Linked DNA regions of Arabidopsis thaliana. The protein of the gene in region 4 interacts with the protein of the main gene of each other region in a pairwise test. Each region holds a gene or a part of one and is shown on either strand. Other genes may lie near its edges. The genes, in order: BBX9, BBX13, BBX10 and BBX28.

Region 1 (4,468 bases), 5.0 Mb from region 4:
TTCTAGCTCGGAGACATCTCCGGCGCGTGATCTGCACGACCTGTCGGAAGCTAACTCGTCGATGTCTTGTCGGTGATAATTTTAATGTTGTTTTACCGGAGATAAGGATGATAGCAAGGATTGAAGAACATAGTAGTGATCACAAAATTCCCTTTGTGTTTCTCTGATTTTATGTTTTGTTTTTCGCGTAATTAAGATTAAATATTGGTAGGGTTTTTTCTCTGGAAATGTTCTAAGAATGTATATTTTCATTCTAAAGCTTAAAAGTAATATATGAACACCTAGAAAACATATTGATTTAATAGTAAAATAATGCGGTCCCAATAGTAAGCTATAAGAAATCAAGAACAAATCTTCCTATGGCAAACATAATCTGCCTTTATTCTTTGGCTTTATTTTTCTTAACTAGGAAAACAATACAACGTTACAAATTACAATCAAGTGAAATGGAAGGTGGAGAGTGGTCCAAAACACAAAGAAGATATATTTTTCTATGATTAACATGTAATTGAGATTAAGGAGCTATAAGTAGGAAAGAGTCAACGACTCTTGTTTTGTTTTTTGGTTTCTGATTTTGTCTGATCGTCTCGTAGCTGTATGCCTAATTAATGCCTGTATGACCGGTAGGTTTTGTGGTTGCATCAAAAAACAGTGGAAATTCTCTAGTAAAAAGAGCAACTTTCAGTTTTTTTTTTTTTTAATCTCCATTTTGGAATCACCTTTGCGATGATTTTAAGTCTTTGTAGTTTGATCTTGTATACTTTCTCAAGAAGAGAATTTTATGTTTTTTTTTTGTTACTTCTCCGACAAGAAACTGTTAATCCCGTGGATGGAGTCAGATTATTCTTTAGTTCCGCAGTGAAGATTCACTAGTTCACATCACCAGTGACGGATCATACTCAAAAGTTTCTCCAGATTTTACAAATCTCCCTTTGACCCGTTTTCTCGTATCAGCTCTGGCTTTGCGTGATGCATATCTTATTTGCTTCCCAAACCTAGAAGAAATTGGTACCACAAATATCAATGAGATTATGTTTTAAAAGCATGATAATGACTCTGATTATGTGTCTCAAAAACTTACATGCGCTTTGATTTCTTTTGTTTGTATCTCTTTTTAGCCTCATCCCTTAATTTTGGATTAAAACTAACTTCAACATTCGATTCCCATGGCGAATCTCCTATGAGAAACCCTGGTGAAATTCCGCAATCTTGGTAATCAGTCGCATTGCTTTCTCCTGTGAGGTTAGACATCGAAAGTGACATGTTCGGTACAACGTTCCCGGATAAAGTAGGAAGCAGTAATGAAGGAAGGCCAATGTTATTCTCTTCCTTAAAAGAATCCTCGTACTCGTAACATTTGGTATTGTCAAGTGATGAACATCCGATTATATCATTGCTTGCGTTGAAATTCAACGGCGCATCATCTAAGTTTATCCCTTCGCATAGATCCAAACCAGAACATTCCTGCATATAGAACGGAATATAAATGAAAAACATTCTTCTTTATCATAAATGAAACATTTTGATATATTACTTAAACAACACGTCACCTCTTCTATCACTTTTGGAAGATTAGATTCCATAGGAAAGAAAGAAGAATAGTCTTTAAGGTTCTGAGTTTGTGTAACCACGGAAGTTGATGAACCATTCCAATCGTCTAATTCCTGGAGCAGGGTATCAGAAAATGGAGAGACCAAACTTGTGACAGAAGGTTCTAAAGTTGAAGACCAGATCTTGCCGAAATCTGATGGAGAAGGACAATCAGAGTAAGGGTTCAGACTCTGAAGTCTGTGTCCTAAACCAGTGCAGTTACTAGCGGTCCACTGACATCCTTGGCAAAGAGAAACATTTTCGTTCATACAGTGTACTGCCGTGGGTTGTAAGGAACATTTCTCGCAGAGTAGAGATCGCGTGTGTCTTTGAGACAGAGGATTCGCTGAGTGTACATTAACGTCACAGTTTAAACAAAGTTTAGCCGAATCAGATTTGCAGTAGATTAATGCTTTTTCGGTTCCACAAAAGTCACATCGAGCCTCCATACTTCTTCGAAGACAAAACTCCAAAGAAATAACGATTTCTCAATCCCAATCGCTACACACACCTAAAATCCTATAGCATAGAAGGATCGTGAGACAAAAACAGAACATTCAGAGATCAAACAAAATTACGATTCATTATAGGTTCATGTATCTTTTTAATGTGTGACTGTGACTGTGACTAATACATGGTTGTGTTTGAATGTTAGAGAAACACTCACAAACTAAGAAAATGTGGATTCTCGAGACCGAATCAGTACTAAAATCACAATGTCTAGAAACTCATAACCAGTTAATTACAGAGTTTTTTCTAAACAAGAGTATAACAATAATCGTGTAAAATTGTTTATGTTTCAGGGTTCCAGAGATTAGAAGCTTTACAAGGGTGTGTGAGAGTCCAGTGAGAAGGAGATGAGAAAGAACAGAGAAGAAAAGGTTTTGCTCTGTTTTTATCCTGTGTGGGGTCCACCTTGTTAAGCGGGTTTGCCACGCGGGGTATCTTTTGTCACGTGTGGTTTTATTGTTCCTTAGATTTTGTTGATGTCATAATGTGGTTGACCATACAATTCGGAGTTTTTGTTTGATTCTTTAGGTACTTTCTGTGGCTCGCAAGAATTTCGAGAATTGTTAATAAAAAAACGTGTAAATGTCATTAATTTTGAACACGTTTTTCTTGTTATTCAAAACATCCGAGTAATAAGACTAGTTCGAAGCAATTTATTCCGAGTGTTGGTTTAATGGATCTAGGAGTTTGCAGCATACTAGTCCGGTTTCATTAACCTGTGGTTATGGATAGTTATTGTATCTATTTCTCACTAATTTTACTAAGTGTGTTTTCACAACTTAAAATATGAGATGTTAGAAGCACTTAAATGATTGAAATTCTAGTGAGCGATCATGTTTTAAGAGAGAAAACTTTGTGACAACGATTGATATTCGTTTACGATTTTTTACCAGCCTCAGTAAAAAGGCTAAATGTACTATTTTTGAAACATCTCCCAATGCATTCCATGCCAAAAAAGGCTAAATGTACTTGTAAACAATTCAACAGACAGTAACTGCTGGCATTAGCTGAAAAGGTCGCTCATGGCATGACCAGTCTGGTTGTCATTGTTTGTTTGCCAAAAGATTTCATTAGATGTCCAAAAAGCAGCTCATTCGACCAAACAATTGTTTCCTGATAAGTCAATTGTTTTGTTAATCAATTCTATAGGAACGCTAAATCCATTATTCGTCCAAAAATCAGCTCATAGTTTTCAATTGTTTTGTTAACCACTTATTTTGCAAAAGTAGTGAAGAAAACATAACATTTAAACACACCAATTGTTTTCATAAAGCCCTTCCACCAACTGAAAATCAAAGAATAACTAGCTAATCTCTTCCGGTATTAAAAAAGAGGAAAAACAAAACCAATTGATATAATGTGCGAGGCATTTCCAGGATCAAAAGGCATGGAAAAAAGCAAAAAGATCAGGATATACCACAACCAATATAGCGTCACAAGCCATTATACCTGAAGGAACTGTTTTTATCCTTCAGAATTGGTAATGGACGCCAATACAAAAACAAAAAACACTAAAACTCTTTCTTCAATAGGGCAAAATTTTTGATAAAAAATGCTCAGTGGAAGGAGAAGTCGTTTTAAAGGAGAGCTCACGGTAAACCCACTGCTCTTCTCACACTCTTCGTGCTTTCATCTCATCATTGCATCATCATCATCAAACCCATAACAGTAATCCAACAAAACAAAACAAAAAACATTGAAAGAACAAATAAGCTTCAGTGTGTGTAACAAATTCAGTTCATTGATTCAAAAACCTCACTGAAATCCGCTAAGATAATTGTTTTTATCATCATCAGCTTTATAACCCAAAACAAGTACATACAAACATCAATCAAACCTATTAACAATAATCCAACTAAACAAAAGCCAAACATTAAAAAAAAAAAAAAGCCTCAGTGTGTGTAACAAATTCAGATCATTGATTGAAAAACCTCACTGAAATCCGCTAAGATAATTGTTTTCTATCATCATAAGCTTATAAGTGGAAAAACATCAACCAACAAAAAAAAACAATAACAGAGAAATTTGTCTTCAAACCAATCAAAAGATAAGATTTTGGGTGAAAGGGGAATTAATACTCAGACAGCCAAGGGTTAATCTTCAACTTCTGGGAGAAGAATCCCAGATCTGAAACTCTAGTCCACAATACTCTTGTATCATCACCATATTCAACCCCTTCCACATCCCATAAAACTAAGACATCACAAATCTCTTTCACAAAAACCTTAAATATCACCAATTTCAACATATATACACAAACGAAAATAGTCACAGACCTAACCCTAAAATCACCTAACATATCATTCAGACATGAAAAGAAAGAGAGTTCCTATGATTTGCATTAGACGAAACCTTATAAATACACAGA
Region 2 (5,103 bases), on a different chromosome or scaffold from region 4:
TCTGCTGCTTTTGGTAGTTGATTTCATCGACAAGAAATGTTCCGGACATAGGAAGCTCTAGGACTGTCTTATCGAGGTTGTTGCAGTGGAGATTGAATCCTGGATTGCCGCAGAAAGGAAAACGAATGGGGATTCCAAGTGGTTCACATTTATTAAGATATGAATCCGAGTAGGATGAAGGACATTTTTGAGGGTTCAAGGCGTTTCGGAGAGGTAAGATAAAGATGGAGAGGAGAAATACAGAGAAGAGAATTCTTGATTGAGGGAATTGTTAAACGAAAAATTTAATAGAGAATTGGTCTATTCTTATAGTCACTAAGAGGAAAGTCAGAGAATTAGTTGTCTTTTAAGAAGAATTGTCACCTGCATCGGATCCCACGTCTGCAGAGCTATATGACATTCAAGCATAAACATTATACAACATCCACTACATGTATTATACACTAGAATAAACTGATTGTGGAATTTCGCCTGTGAGTAACTCTTTAAGTAGGGAGATTTATACCTTCTGAATTGGCCAACACAGCCAGAACCACCAAAGAAACAGCAACGAAGAACCACAGCCGCAGATCCGCTCGCCATCTGCGAACTGGACTTGGAAAACTTTGATTAACAGCCATAAGTCAGGGTTTTTAAAACAAAGAGTATCAAGGCGTATTAGCTTGTGAGACTTCAAAATGCTTGGATAGACATGTATATACTGTCAACAGAATATGGTTTTCTAGAAGGTTACAATCTTTTTTAAACTAGATAAGATTCCAAGGTACATAAAAGGGCCAGATAAGGCAATAAAACAGAAGGGCGGCCAGATGAAACGAGACCGGTCTGTACATTTATGAGGCAGTGGAAGTAAAAAAAGTAACTAAGTTTGTAGCTAAAAGGAAGCCTATGTGAAGAGACTTAAGGTTAAGGGTAAGGAGCTTCACTAGCTTTCACAAATCTGCCTCTGACACGCAACCTAGTGTCAGCTCTTGCCTTCCTCGATTCATACCTTATGGTCTTATCATATCTGTTGGCACCCGAGATCCAAGACAAAGGGAGAAACGAAATATGGTATCAGATTCTTTAAGGGAGATGGGCAATAAAAAATTATTAAAGGGGAAAGAAAAAAGCAGCATTTACCTCCGTGTCTTCCTCTTTTCCTTGTAACGCTGCATTGCATCTCCTCTGTTCTGAGCCAGCCGCTCCAGATCAGCCTTAGTTGCAACTAGTCTTGTGGTCTTACAACTAGTTCCAGCAATATGCTCTGTGAAATGCAAGTCACTGGAGGAGTTCGAACCTTTCTCAGAGCCAAAGGTAATTGGACGATTGTTGCTCTCAGATTTTGTTGGTTGTACCTGGCCTGAAGTTGATCGCTTGTAGTCATCCTGCAAAAGAATCCTAATCAGCATCACAGTTAAGTTGCATAGCAGTCTAGCAAATATATATCATAAGCCAAAATGTTAGAATTGGTGGCTTGGTGATGAGGTAAAACAAAGAAAAGCAAACCAGCTTGTAACTTTTTTCTGACTAGGTTTCATGTTCTGAATTCTATCATTCACTAAAAGAAGCAACTGTCTACAACAATTTTTGAGGATGAACGGGAGATGACAACGTATTGTGTTTTAAACACTACTCTACTTAAATGACTAAGGTTAATGAGAACTATTACCTTTTTAATCTCTTTGACACCTTTCACATTAGTGGAACAAGTTTCATTCATATGGTCAACAAAATTGTTGATTGTGAATGAAGAAGCAGCACCTTTCCCTACATATGCAGCTTCCACTCGACTCGTATCCTCAGGTCCCCGTGACTGTCCCAAGTTAAAATCCCATATCTGTATACAAGTTCACAACACAGGTTAAGAAACCTTTCATTTTTTTATCTTCTTGAGAAACCATAAAACCACACAGAGTGACTATATTTGACCTTACACAAAAACATTTCACCACTTAATCTCACTTGCTCATTAACAGAAAAAACTAAACTGTTCTTAGCCAAAAAAATCAAAAGAGAGATAAGCAAAACCTGAGAACTCTGGCCACCACTAGGATTAGTAGTAGTAGCATTCCACTGCTGGTTAACTCCTCCTCCTCCGCCACCATTGATCTCCTCAACATCTCTTGACCATTTCAATCTCTCTGACATCTCCGGAACCATAAGCCCCTCTCCTGCTTCTCCATCTCCATCTCCATCACAAGCACCCTCACGGTCACAATCACGGTCACGATCACCATCATCGCCATCACCACCGACAACACCACTCTTAAGCAACTCCTCAAGCTGCTTACACAATACCTGCTTATACCTCCCACAACTAGATCCACAAGATCCACGCTTCTTAAACGTCGTATCGCTGGGAACAATCAATTCATTAGATCCCAAAACCCAAGAATCCAACTGCATCCCGAAATTATCCATCATCATCGCCATCATCGGAACTTGATTCTCTTCATCTTTCCTCCCTTGCTCCAAATCAAGTCCCCATAAAGCAGCAAGCTCCAACGCCGATGGACAACCGGAAAAACCTTCCACGGCGGATCGAACATGAGCATCGGAAACTGAACAACTTCCGTGAACATCCCAATCACACTCCTGACACAAAATCAGATTATCGGTGAAACACCGAACAGAGACTGGCTCGTTACCGCAATTATCGCAGATCTGAGATCGCACGTGCTTCCTCGACAACAGATTCGCCGTGTGAACTTGCTGATCACAAGGCAAACACAGCTTCGCCGTATCGGCTCTACAAAACAAAACCGCCGTACGCTCGCCGCAGAAATCGCACGGTACTCTCTCCGAACTACTCATAACTGACTCTCTCTCAAAATCCCTAAAATTCGAAATCAAAATCAGAATTTATTTTCAGAGACTAAGGACGGTGAGAAGAATGATGACAAATCCATTTCTCACGTTTTTCATTTTGAACTCTTTTTTTTTTTGGGGGGCTTTGTCAAAATTATCTGCAAATCTTTTGGAATGAAGAAGACAACGAAGCTAATTATTGTAAACAGTTTGGGGTTAGGGATTTGTTTTTCTGTGTTGCGATGTATGGAACTTGTGTATGATGGATTGTTCAGATTGAGATATGTTGAGATCTGACGGTGTAAAAGCGTGCTGAGAGAGTCGCCATTGTTCAGACGGCGAAGCTTACGTTGACTGTGACAGAGAATCTAAGAGAAAATATCTAATCTGCTTTTTCACCTAAATATCTATTTTAACGTATAAAGGGAAAGTTAGTTCAAAGCACATGATTTTTATGGGATTAATTCTTTCCGTATATAGCAATAACTTTTTGATCAGTGTAATAACGGCTGGAATCGTCTTTTTCTGGAACTAGTATTTACGAACATTGCAGCGTAATGTATAGCATATATTTATGTGCATAATAAACTGCTACACACGAGTTCTTGACAAAAGATGTGATAAAATTAAAATCGTAAAGATATTTTAGGATTCATGTTAGATATTTTCTTTTTGTCCATAGACTTCAATAAGTTGTTTTTTTTTGTTTTGAAAAAAAGTATAACTTATTTGTAAAGTGCTATCATTCTGAGGTATAAATATCTTGAAAAAGTTCCTGGGGAGTGGTAACAATCGGAACGATTCTTGACTAACGCATTAAATTTCACGTGTTAGAGAGTTTGTGATTCAGACTATACATAATACAGTATATGAGCGGGTTTTTTCTTTTTTGAGTCAAAGCGGAATATATGCGTTATATACTTCTATATTTGAATTCTTGAGTTTTGATCGAATGTTTAATTTGTGGTCAACTTGTGGAAATCTCTTGGCAAAGAAATCTTATTTATCCAAAAAATAGTTGGTATGAAAACTCTTGGCAAAGAAATCTTGTTTATTCCAAAAATAGTTGGTATGAAGAGTTTGGATTTCTGCTTGTAAGAAAACTGCGACCTGACATCAAATATTTTTCTTTTTAAAGATAAATAGCTTGAATTTTCATATATCTCTATAGAAGATGAATCGTCGATTTTTTTTTTTTTAAGTAAAAGATGATATAAAAGCCCATTAGACTCAAAATTGAAGAACTATCTCAAGAAGGAACTCAAAAATGGGCTTCAGCCCATAAGGGAAGCTTGTAGTCCGGTGATTGGATTATATATCTTCCGGATCCGGTATCGTTTCGCTCCCTTTAGGATTTTTCCGGAAGGAACAAAAATCTGATTCAGAACTTGGTTTCGCTGGTCGTTTTGGTTCTAATCTGAATCGCTGGTTTATTCCGGTTGTGAATTTTCGTATATTTATAGGACCGGCGAATCAGAAGCAAATTGTTGTTAGGAATAAACCCTAAATTCTGCCATGGATAAGGAGAGATATTCCAGGAGCCACCGTGACGATCGTGATCGAGATTCGAGTCCCGACCATTCTCCACAACGTGAAGGAGGACGCCGCCGTGACCGCGATGTTGATTCGAAGCGTCGTGATTCAGATCACTACCGTTCATCGAGGCGCGGCGATAGGGAAGATGAGAGAGATAGGACCAAGGATAGAAGAGGGAGATCTGTAGAGCGAGGCGAGAGAGAAGGGAGTAGAGATAGGGAAAAGCATCACCATGAGAGGTCTCACGAAGGTAGTAAAGAGAAGGAATCGAGGAGCAAGAGGAAAGATAGAGAGGAAGAGAATGGGGCTAGGGATGGGAAGAAGAAATCTAGGTTTGCTGATGGGAATGGTGAGAGGAGGAGCAGGTTTGAGGATGTGGCTATTGAAGTTGAGAACAAAGATGCTCAAGTCTCTGAGGGTTCTGGGGCTACGAATCCAACCAGTGGCGTTACGATGGTGAGTTCTTTATACCTTTTCGTTAATCTTCTTTGTTTGCTACTTGCGATTTGTTCATGATTACCTCTAGTCTTCTTCGCTAGCTAATGCTTGCATTTTCTTTTTTTGTGCAGGGAGCCTCTACATATAGTTCTATTCCATCGGAAGCTTCTGCTGCCCCTAGTCAAACACTGCTCACTAAGGTATCTTCGATATCTACAACGGATGAAAATAAGGCTAGTGTTGTCAGATCTCATGAGGTTCCTGGAAAATCTAGTACAGATGGAAGACCATTGTCCACAGCTGGGAAAAGTAGTGCAAACTTGCCTCTTGATTCATCAG
Region 3 (4,667 bases), on a different chromosome or scaffold from region 4:
CAAGTGACGAGGAGTCTATGAACATTCAAGGAGACAACCAAAGAACCAGGATGCTTATGAGCCAACCGGTCTATGTACACATACCCAACAACGAAACATGCCGGGCTACATTTTGTGTACTTATATATCCTCTCAAGGTATTTAGCTATACTTATGCTCGGCGCTCTCACGCCGTGAAACGCCTCCAAGCTCTTCCCAAATCCCTTAGTTTGCTTAGCTAACCACTCGTTTCGTGCCACGAGCTTCTCCATCACATGGGAGATTATAGTCAGCACTCTTGGAGTGGCTGCTTCCGTTGCCGATTCTGGTCCCACGACCGGGTCCAGTTCATCGTCTCCGGCTGCGGTTAACATGGGTTCTCTTCAGTTTTCGTTAATGGGCCATGTTGTATAGTTCGTTTTGGGTATATATGGCTTGTAGATTGGGTGGTTGAGATACGATGAGCTTAAGATGTTACGTGGGGATGTTATCATGTTTCGTCTGACTTTGGACGAGTGTGAGATGGTTTTGACACGTGTCACTTCGCGAGAAGATAGGATTCCGATGATTTTTGTATACCTTGAGCAATGAAATTAGTTATCATTTATCAAACAAATAACTTTATTTTCCACTTAATTTTCTGCATATTACTAGCATTATTACCCAAAATTAAGTTTCCGGGTCTTGGTCCATAATTTTCTCGTCCGGTACAATTTCCTTTGAAAAGTCTCACAGTACACAAATTTTACTACATACGCTGGAATATATTCTTGATGTAAATACTATATATAGATGTAAATTAATGTTAGATACATTATTTGAAAAAAGGCATACGCGTTGCCGGTCACTGCATACATGTTTAATGTTTTGATAAGGAGAGTTTATGCATAGGTCATATAATGTTATGTGGCCATTTTTTCTTATCTCTGTTTTGAAGTTCATTTATCTTTGTTTACGTTAATAGTTATCATGTTTCTTACTTTTATCTATCAAATCTATATATCATTTTCTTTGCATAAGGCATTTTTTTCTTAAATTGTATCCTTTTAAATAGTTAGGTTGGTGTGCAACTTCTTAAAAAGAAAAGTTAGTTCTTTGAGGATTATATCAAAAGATAATTACTAGTTCAAATTTTACAATTTTCTTTTAGAAACAAATTTTTTACGAAATAGCTGACAACATTTTTTAGGTTAGGAATCCCAAAATTTGAGGGTAGCCTGATCAAAAAGTTAGAAATGCTAACAACTTATTTCTATTCAAGAGTCAACTGCATAGCCATTATACATGCATGTACATTAAACTGATGATAATATAGAAGTTGATGTGGCCTAGTCTATTTCAAATGAAATGACTCAATGATCTCACATCTATATATCAAATGTTAGAGATACCAAAAGACATCACACAATTCAGAAAAACTGATAACTCTTTCAAACTAGTTGAGAACATATTTTCGAAAAAGAAACGTACGTGGCTCAATATTCAAGTAAATTACGACATGTATTACACGTATAAACGATATCAATAAATTTATTGGGAACCACAAGTAAGTAACACTAGTAATAGCTAGTATCGACCCGAAACAACGAGTTTTAAGGTTTGCCACAGAGCACAAAATCTATCGAGCAAGAAAAAAATCAGATAGTACTATCTTGACAAGCGATATAATCACAATTACCTATGCATGTCTTCATAATAAATCACGTCAAGGCTCATAATTACGCCACGTGGATTTTAACCGCGTGGACACACGTTTTCACAAGGTATAAAAGAAGCAACCCTACCTCTCTTTCTTCTACGTGATTCGCACACCACTGTAAAAGTGTAAAAAAACTCTTTTTTTGTTCTTCTTCACATTTCATTCGATTCAAAAAATATTCTGTTCTTAGATTGTAATCTGTTTTTTTTTCTGTAATCTCCCATTATTGGGTTTTGAATTTCTCGTCATTTTACGAAAAAGGTTGTGAATCGGCCTAATCGATCTCGGTCGTCATAAGTGAGTGCTTCTTCCTCCGTATTAGCTCTCAAAAACATTTGTGTTTCTATTTGAAACGTAACAATTTACGATATTTTTCCTCACAAATTAATGTAATTGAAACACAAAACCCTATCATGCATGATGCACCCATATATTACCATCTTTAATTCCAAAATCATCATTTTCCTTCCATGATTTGTATCTGAAATGGTCATGCATCTATGTTGCGCAGGATCTTACGTGTGTTTTACTAATCGTGAAACAATATCAACGTCAGATTCTTCTCTATACACTTTTCTTTAAGTTTACCCAATCATCATGTCTCCAAGTATGGAGCCAAAGTGTGACCATTGTGCAACCTCGCAAGCATTGATTTACTGCAAATCCGATTTGGCTAAACTATGCCTAAACTGCGACGTCCATGTACACTCTGCGAATCCTCTGTCTCACAGGCACATACGCTCTTTGATCTGCGAGAAATGCTTCTCACAGCCAGCCGCAATCCGCTGTCTCGACGAGAAGGTTTCATACTGCCAAGGATGTCATTGGCACGAAAGCAACTGTTCGGAGTTAGGACACAGAGTTCAGAGCTTGAATCCTTTCTCTGGTTGTCCTTCTCCTACAGATTTTAACAGAATGTGGTCTTCAATTCTTGAACCTCCTGTCTCCGGCTTGCTTAGTCCGTTCGTTGGTTCTTTTCCCTTGAATGATCTCAACAATACCATGTTCGATACCGCTTATTCCATGGTACCACACAACATCAGTTACACTCAGAATTTCAGTGATAATTTGTCTTTCTTTTCCACGGAATCTAAGGTAATAATTAAAGGAGTGAAAAGTGTTCCTTATAAGTTCTTGATGAAAAATACAGTTCTTATTTGTGTGTATGTTCCAGGGATATCCTGATATGGTTCTTAAACTTGAAGAAGGAGAAGAAGATCTATGTGAAGGGCTTAACTTGGATGATGCACCATTAAACTTTGACGTAGGAGATGATATTATCGGATGTTCATCAGAAGTACACATAGAACCGGACCATACGGTACCAAATTGCCTATTGATTGACAAGACTAACACATCCAGCTTTACCGGCTCCAACTTTACTGTAGACAAGGCTCTAGAGGTCTCTTTCGCTTTTTTGTTGTCGTTGTTGTAGTTTCTAGTACCTCAAGAAAGTTTCTAATATAAATTGTGTTATTCTGTTTCCAGGCATCGCCACCAGGTCAGCAAATGAACATCAACACTGGACTTCAGCTTCCTCTATCACCTGTCTTGTTCGGACAAATCCATCCATCTCTTAACATCACTGGTGAAAACAATGCAGCTGATTACCAGGATTGTGGGATGTCTCCAGGGTTTATAATGAGTGAAGCGCCATGGGAAACGAATTTTGAAGTTAGTTGTCCACAAGCAAGAAACGAGGCTAAGTTGAGATACAAGGAGAAGAAATTAAAGCGCTCGTAAGTTTATTACTAATCATTACAAAACAGAGTTTATACCAACTTGGATCAGGTTTAATGGTGTTTTTCTTTTTTTTTAATTGTAGTTTTGGGAAACAGATTCGATATGCATCTCGCAAAGCAAGAGCTGACACGAGGAAAAGAGTGAAAGGAAGATTTGTGAAAGCTGGTGACAGTTATGATTATGATCCATCATCACCGACGACGAACAATTGAAATTTACAAAAATAATGTACAGTCTTCTTTCCCAAACAGACTTAAACCATGCTTCATGATGATGATAAAGGTTGGTAAAAACAGTTTCTTGTCGGGAAAGTAATGTATTGTTTGTCTTATTGTGTATAGTTTTTGTGAATCGAAGAAATCAACATGTTGAGGCATGGGAACGTTGGAGAACTAAATAAAGTTGGTGGAAAGCCAAAATGGTGAAAATTATTTAGTAACTTCTTTTATTTACAGAATCTCTTTTGTTTTTGATTATTTTTAAGTTGGGTTTTTCCTTTTATAGGACAAATCCTAATTTATCTCTTTATAAATAAATTTCCTAGCTGTTTTTTTTTTTATTAATAATAAAGTAGCAGTGATTACAATCTGCTCCATTACAGAGCTCGCGTTTAACGTGTTTCAAGAGAACAATTCTCTACTTATTAAGCATTGCATTATGAAGATGTTTCACTTGCAAAAAGTTTAGTTATTACCCCACTGGTTTAGAACCAATTGGTTCTTAGTTTTGAATCTTAACCTTATTTTAAATTAAAATGTTGTTTTTACTAAGTTAAGAAAAGTTAGGAGGAAGTTTAACTAATTTCTATTTCAATGGTTAAGAACTATTGGATTCTTAAAAAACAACAATTCAAAAATGTCTATCCACTCAAAATACAACACATATACTCTTCTTAGTTTTAAGAAAACATCTTAATTAAGATGTTTATCTTAGCTAAGGTTTGTTGTTTCATTAAATTTAATCACTTTTATTGCTAAGAATACAAGGCTGGAGTTGCTTTTATGTACCTTTAAATTAAGGAAAATGACAAGTCCAAAGAAGTAGTGAGAAAGATTTACTACACTAAAATAAATATCTAACAAAATACCAAACAGAGAGTTTGGTGAGTTAATTTTTTTTTACAGCAGTTTTATGGAACTTTTTGTTTGTTGGTTACAAACATTGCTTAGTAGAAAAAAGCAAAAGATTCGAAGAATAACTCAATAACAACAAACGATCCTTGTTTCTTCCCTTTCTATTGCAGATA
Region 4 (4,141 bases):
GTTTTTGGTTTGACTTTAGGAATTGGAACTATGGACTAATGGTTGAAGTATTTGACGCTAGTCATGCGTTGATAGTGAAACCCAGCGAATTTCCTAACAAATATTTTCTACTTTCTTATATCGATTTTATAATGAGTTTAAATTTCGAATGTTTTGTTTTGTTTTGTTGGAATCGTATAAAAACTTATAAATTGAAACAATATAAGAATTTGCGTTAAAAGAATATGTAGTTTAAATGAGAACCACATGTTTTATTCAAATTAATTCGAGAGAGACCCAACTGTCCAACCCCCACAACACCAGTTCCTCGGTAAGCCAGAGAATCAAGTGGTTAAAAAAAAGAAGGGATAAACGGTTTTGATGTATGTATATAGGACCCAAATGACACACACGAAACCAATAGGAGTAAAATTTTAAATTAAAATCGAAAGAACTATGGTGAACAAAGATGTGATCCTGTCATGTGAATGAAGAACATGGTGAGATAACGTTATAAGGTAAAACATGGGGGTGTCAATATTTTATGGACCATCAAACACAGTTCACAGACGCGGCAGATATGACAGGTTCAATGTTCTTGGCGAATGAATGTAACCTCAAGGACCCATTACATTATAAAAATCTCTCGAAATTTTATCATATTTAATTTCATTTTCTTTGTAGTCCCCACAATTGAGTGGTCGAAATTACAAAGCAAATCATATACTTTATTTTTACGGTATGTGTATACCATTGTGTCCATCTGCCACCAATCTCTCCCCCATTCCTTTTGATCCATTGAATATAATCATATAACATAAGTCATAAACTTACGAATCGAAATTAATTTACTTACGTAGATTAACAAAAAAAAAATCAACATAATAATGATATTGATAAGAAAAATAAAAAGTTAAGATTTGATTTTGTACGACATTCAAAGAAAGAAAGAAACTACCTCATCTCTAAAACAAAGTATTGTCAGAAAACTGAACGGTGGTGATTTACTTAAACAAGAAAAAAAAAGGAATCAACGGCTGAGATCTCTTCTTGTTTTGGAGATCGCAAAGATCGGAGAAGACGATGTATCGGCGCCGTTCATTCTGACGATACGGTAGAGTGTGAGTTAAACAACAACCGTTGATTTAAACGCCGATCGCTTCAACGGCCGAGAATAGTTTGACCCTTGAGCTGAAGAGCTTCCGATCTCATCCTGCATTTTCCAAAACAACGAAACCGATAATTAAAACCAAAACTTTCTCTGTTAATTTCCCGACAAAATAGTTAAAAAAGATAGATCCATACATCGGAGCAGAGAAGATCTGAATTCTCTCTAGCCCTCGTCCTCTTCGTCACTGAACCTCCGCTTCCTCCGTCAGAAGATGAAGAACTCATCACCGGAGGAACTTGCGCCGCCGCAGACCACGGCACAACTTGATTCTCCGCTTCCTCATCATCACCATCCTCATCATCATCCTCATCCTCATCGTCGCTGTACTCTTCATCCTCATCTTCTTCCTCATCATCATCGTAAGACTCCGCGTCGTCACCGTCACCGTGATCTTCTCTAATCCGATCTTCTTCGGACTCGAAACTATTAACCTCCTCCTGACCACGATTCTCCGATAAAACTCTGTTTCCACGGCCACCGCCGGCGTTTTTAAGAGCGACGCATGACTCGCAGACGGAGAAAGTTGGGCCAAGACGAAGCCCAGTAGCTTTCCACGGCGTAAGAGACTGACAAGCGCTACAGAGAAGACAACGCGTGTGTTTAGCTACCAAGAAATTAGCGCCGTGAACTTTACCGTCGCAATCCCAACATAAACTAGCTTGATCTGACTCGCAATACATTCTTGCAACACCGTTACATAAATCACACTTCTTCCCCATTTTAATCAAAATCAAACTCTTTCTCTCTTTCAAGTTTCTGTGGTTGTTCGTTTTGTGTCTATGCTTTGGTTCCTTGGAGAGATAAGGAAAGAAGAAGAAGAATAGGAAAGTGCAAGTTGCAGGATTTGGGATATTTTTCGTGGCGAGTTTTCTGTGATTCAACAATTCTTTGGAGGCTAGTTTCGTCTTTTTCTGCCTTCTGCTAAAAAATCTATTTCTCTTCTTTGGTTTCACAATGACTCTATTTTATATAGCACCTTCCTTTTTTTTTTATTCTGTGGTTAGTATCCATTTCATTTCAATTTAACTTTGTAATAACGTATAGTATTTAATCAATTAAGGATTGGTTCAACTTAAAAATCTTTTTGCTTTAGAGATGGGTTTATCACTTTAACCTTTATTTGAGATTTTTGTTTGGATAATTATCAGATCTATATCTGCTGCAATTATTTAAATTACTTGAGTCAGTAATGTTTTCTTTATTGTTTTTAGCTTTATCCTTGTGTTTTATTTTTTCTTGTGGATAAAAAATACTGTTTCACATTTTCTACTTAGAATCATTACAGTTTAAGTAAAACACATTAATTATGCGTTATTAGGATAAATAAGTTTAAATGATTTTTGAAAACCAGTTATTAATGCGTATGGGCCAAAGCCAAACCCCGTTTGTACGTGGCGACAAACTCATGGTTCAGTTTCGAGATATTTTTTTGGGAGAGATTTATTTAGTCGATGACGTGGCGAGATCTCAGCCGGGGAAGGAGGAGAGCGAGATTCTGTCCCGTCCTACGTGGACGAATCAGGTTCTCAATGGGCTTCGTAGCCACGTGAGCCCACCTGGGATTTGTCTGGACCATAACACAAGTTTAATGGGCCCCACGTATCTTTGTTCAATTATCTTTCCCTCTTTTTTTATAAACCACTTGTTTTGTTTTTTACTTCTCTCCCATACTTCTTCGCTTCCCAAACTGATCCAAAACATCTGTGTTTCTTGCGAGGATAAGATAACAATGAATTTTTAAATTACAAAATAATATATCGGTATTGGGGGAGAATAAAAAACTTTCTAATATGGTACATAGTAGGCGAGTATTTGTTTACTTGGACTATAATTGTTTAATGTTTTTTTTTTTTGTTAGATATGGTTATTTAATCGTATAGTTGATTTATTTGTGGCTCTCACGAACCCATTGTAAGAAAAACAAATGTTGATTAAACTCTGGCCACATAAAAGATTGTGCTTATGTGGAATGCTTTGATTTGGGGAAATCCTACGTGGCGATCGACGGTGGTGTGAAGAATCAAAGGAAGATGAGATGTCATGATGAGAGCCACGGATACACAAAGTCTCTGGTGAGTGGGTGTGGTTGTGGTTATGGCTCATTATTGTGGCTTTTCTTTTTCTTTTTTTCCTCCATTGTGTGGATAAGAATTTTGGAACAAGTCAGAACTTTGAAGAAGAGAGATTCATATTCAAAATGTGTGTGTATATATAATATTGTCAGAATAGTTCAAATACATCCCTTCTTGTTCTCATCTTTTAAGAGATGTGGCATGTATCATGTATGTATGGGGCTATGCGATATGCAGTATTGATGCCAATTTTTGTCAAAAGAGTTTTTTTTTGTGTGTTTTATTAAAAAAAAATATTCCAAATAAAATTAAACGCCAAAATTTGAAAAACTAGCTGTTTGTTTTCTGTTTATCTTTGATTTTATTAACTTAACTATTCAACCACTAAAATTAAAAATGCTGGATTGTTTGTTGTTTTAAACCAGCTTAATGAATATAAAAGCACGCCTATTTTGTTTGATTGGTGATCGATCTAAATATCTAATAGTCTAGTCATCCCATCCAATTTGGATTCGAAATCCTATCTTTGGTTAGAACGATCAAATTATGCCAATTTGTTTGTTAAACATATATATTTATTAGAAGACTACCATTTCATTTTAATTTAGAGAAGTAACCAATGGTTTCGCTTATGTCAAAGTCTTTGATTCAAGGATCGATAAAATTTGAATAAGAAAATGTTGTAACGAACAAATGAACATTCAATGATCCATCAATAAATGTTTTATGTATATATATATATATATATATATTCTATATTTGAATAAAACCAATCAATAATTCTACTAATGCTCCCTACAGAAAAACCACACGTTAAAAACCCTTAAAATATATCGACACGATTGTGAGAAAAAGACTAGCAAAGAGACAATGCATAAGCTAAGAAGGCCTAAGGGATGATGATTAACATGGGCCTCTT

What was found.
Region 1: the proteins of BBX28 (region 4) and BBX9 interact in a two-hybrid assay, tested with the Arabidopsis thaliana proteins (one large-scale study listed by BioGRID).
Region 2: the proteins of BBX28 (region 4) and BBX13 interact in a two-hybrid assay, tested with the Arabidopsis thaliana proteins (one large-scale study listed by BioGRID).
Region 3: the proteins of BBX28 (region 4) and BBX10 interact in a two-hybrid assay, tested with the Arabidopsis thaliana proteins (one large-scale study listed by BioGRID).

Annotation. Positions count from the first base shown.
Region 1 is NC_003075.7:8,709,068-8,713,535, forward strand, and holds BBX9 (B-box type zinc finger protein with CCT domain-containing protein), read right to left. Parts: upstream 2,460-4,468; 5' UTR 2,418-2,459; exon of another isoform or gene 2,413-2,417; intron 2,110-2,412; 5' UTR 2,040-2,109; coding exon 1,551-2,039; intron 1,465-1,550; coding exon 1,082-1,464; intron 996-1,081; coding exon 875-995; 3' UTR 700-874; downstream 1-699. Other genes in the region: BBX30 (B-box type zinc finger family protein), read left to right, coding at 1-167.
Region 2 is NC_003070.9:9,774,862-9,779,964, forward strand, and holds BBX13 (B-box type zinc finger protein with CCT domain-containing protein), read right to left. Parts: upstream 3,183-5,103; 5' UTR 2,797-3,182; coding exon 2,011-2,796; intron 1,820-2,010; coding exon 1,652-1,819; intron 1,368-1,651; coding exon 1,123-1,367; intron 1,010-1,122; coding exon 907-1,009; 3' UTR 661-906; downstream 1-660. Other genes in the region: AT1G28040 (RING/U-box superfamily protein), read right to left, coding at 1-49; AT1G28060 (Pre-mRNA-splicing factor 3), read left to right, coding at 4,306-4,782, 4,896-5,103.
Region 3 is NC_003074.8:7,704,461-7,709,127, forward strand, and holds BBX10 (B-box type zinc finger protein with CCT domain-containing protein), read left to right. Parts: upstream 1-1,796; 5' UTR 1,797-1,975; intron 1,976-2,189; 5' UTR 2,190-2,275; coding exon 2,276-2,773; intron 2,774-2,852; coding exon 2,853-3,080; intron 3,081-3,166; coding exon 3,167-3,417; intron 3,418-3,503; coding exon 3,504-3,633; 3' UTR 3,634-3,649; exon of another isoform or gene 3,650-3,730; intron 3,731-3,762; 3' UTR 3,763-3,886; downstream 3,887-4,667. Other genes in the region: CYCP2;1 (cyclin p2;1), read right to left, coding at 1-353.
Region 4 is NC_003075.7:13,673,581-13,677,721, reverse strand, and holds BBX28 (B-box type zinc finger family protein), read right to left. Parts: upstream 2,186-4,141; 5' UTR 1,870-2,185; coding exon 1,285-1,869; intron 1,193-1,284; coding exon 1,106-1,192; 3' UTR 667-1,105; downstream 1-666.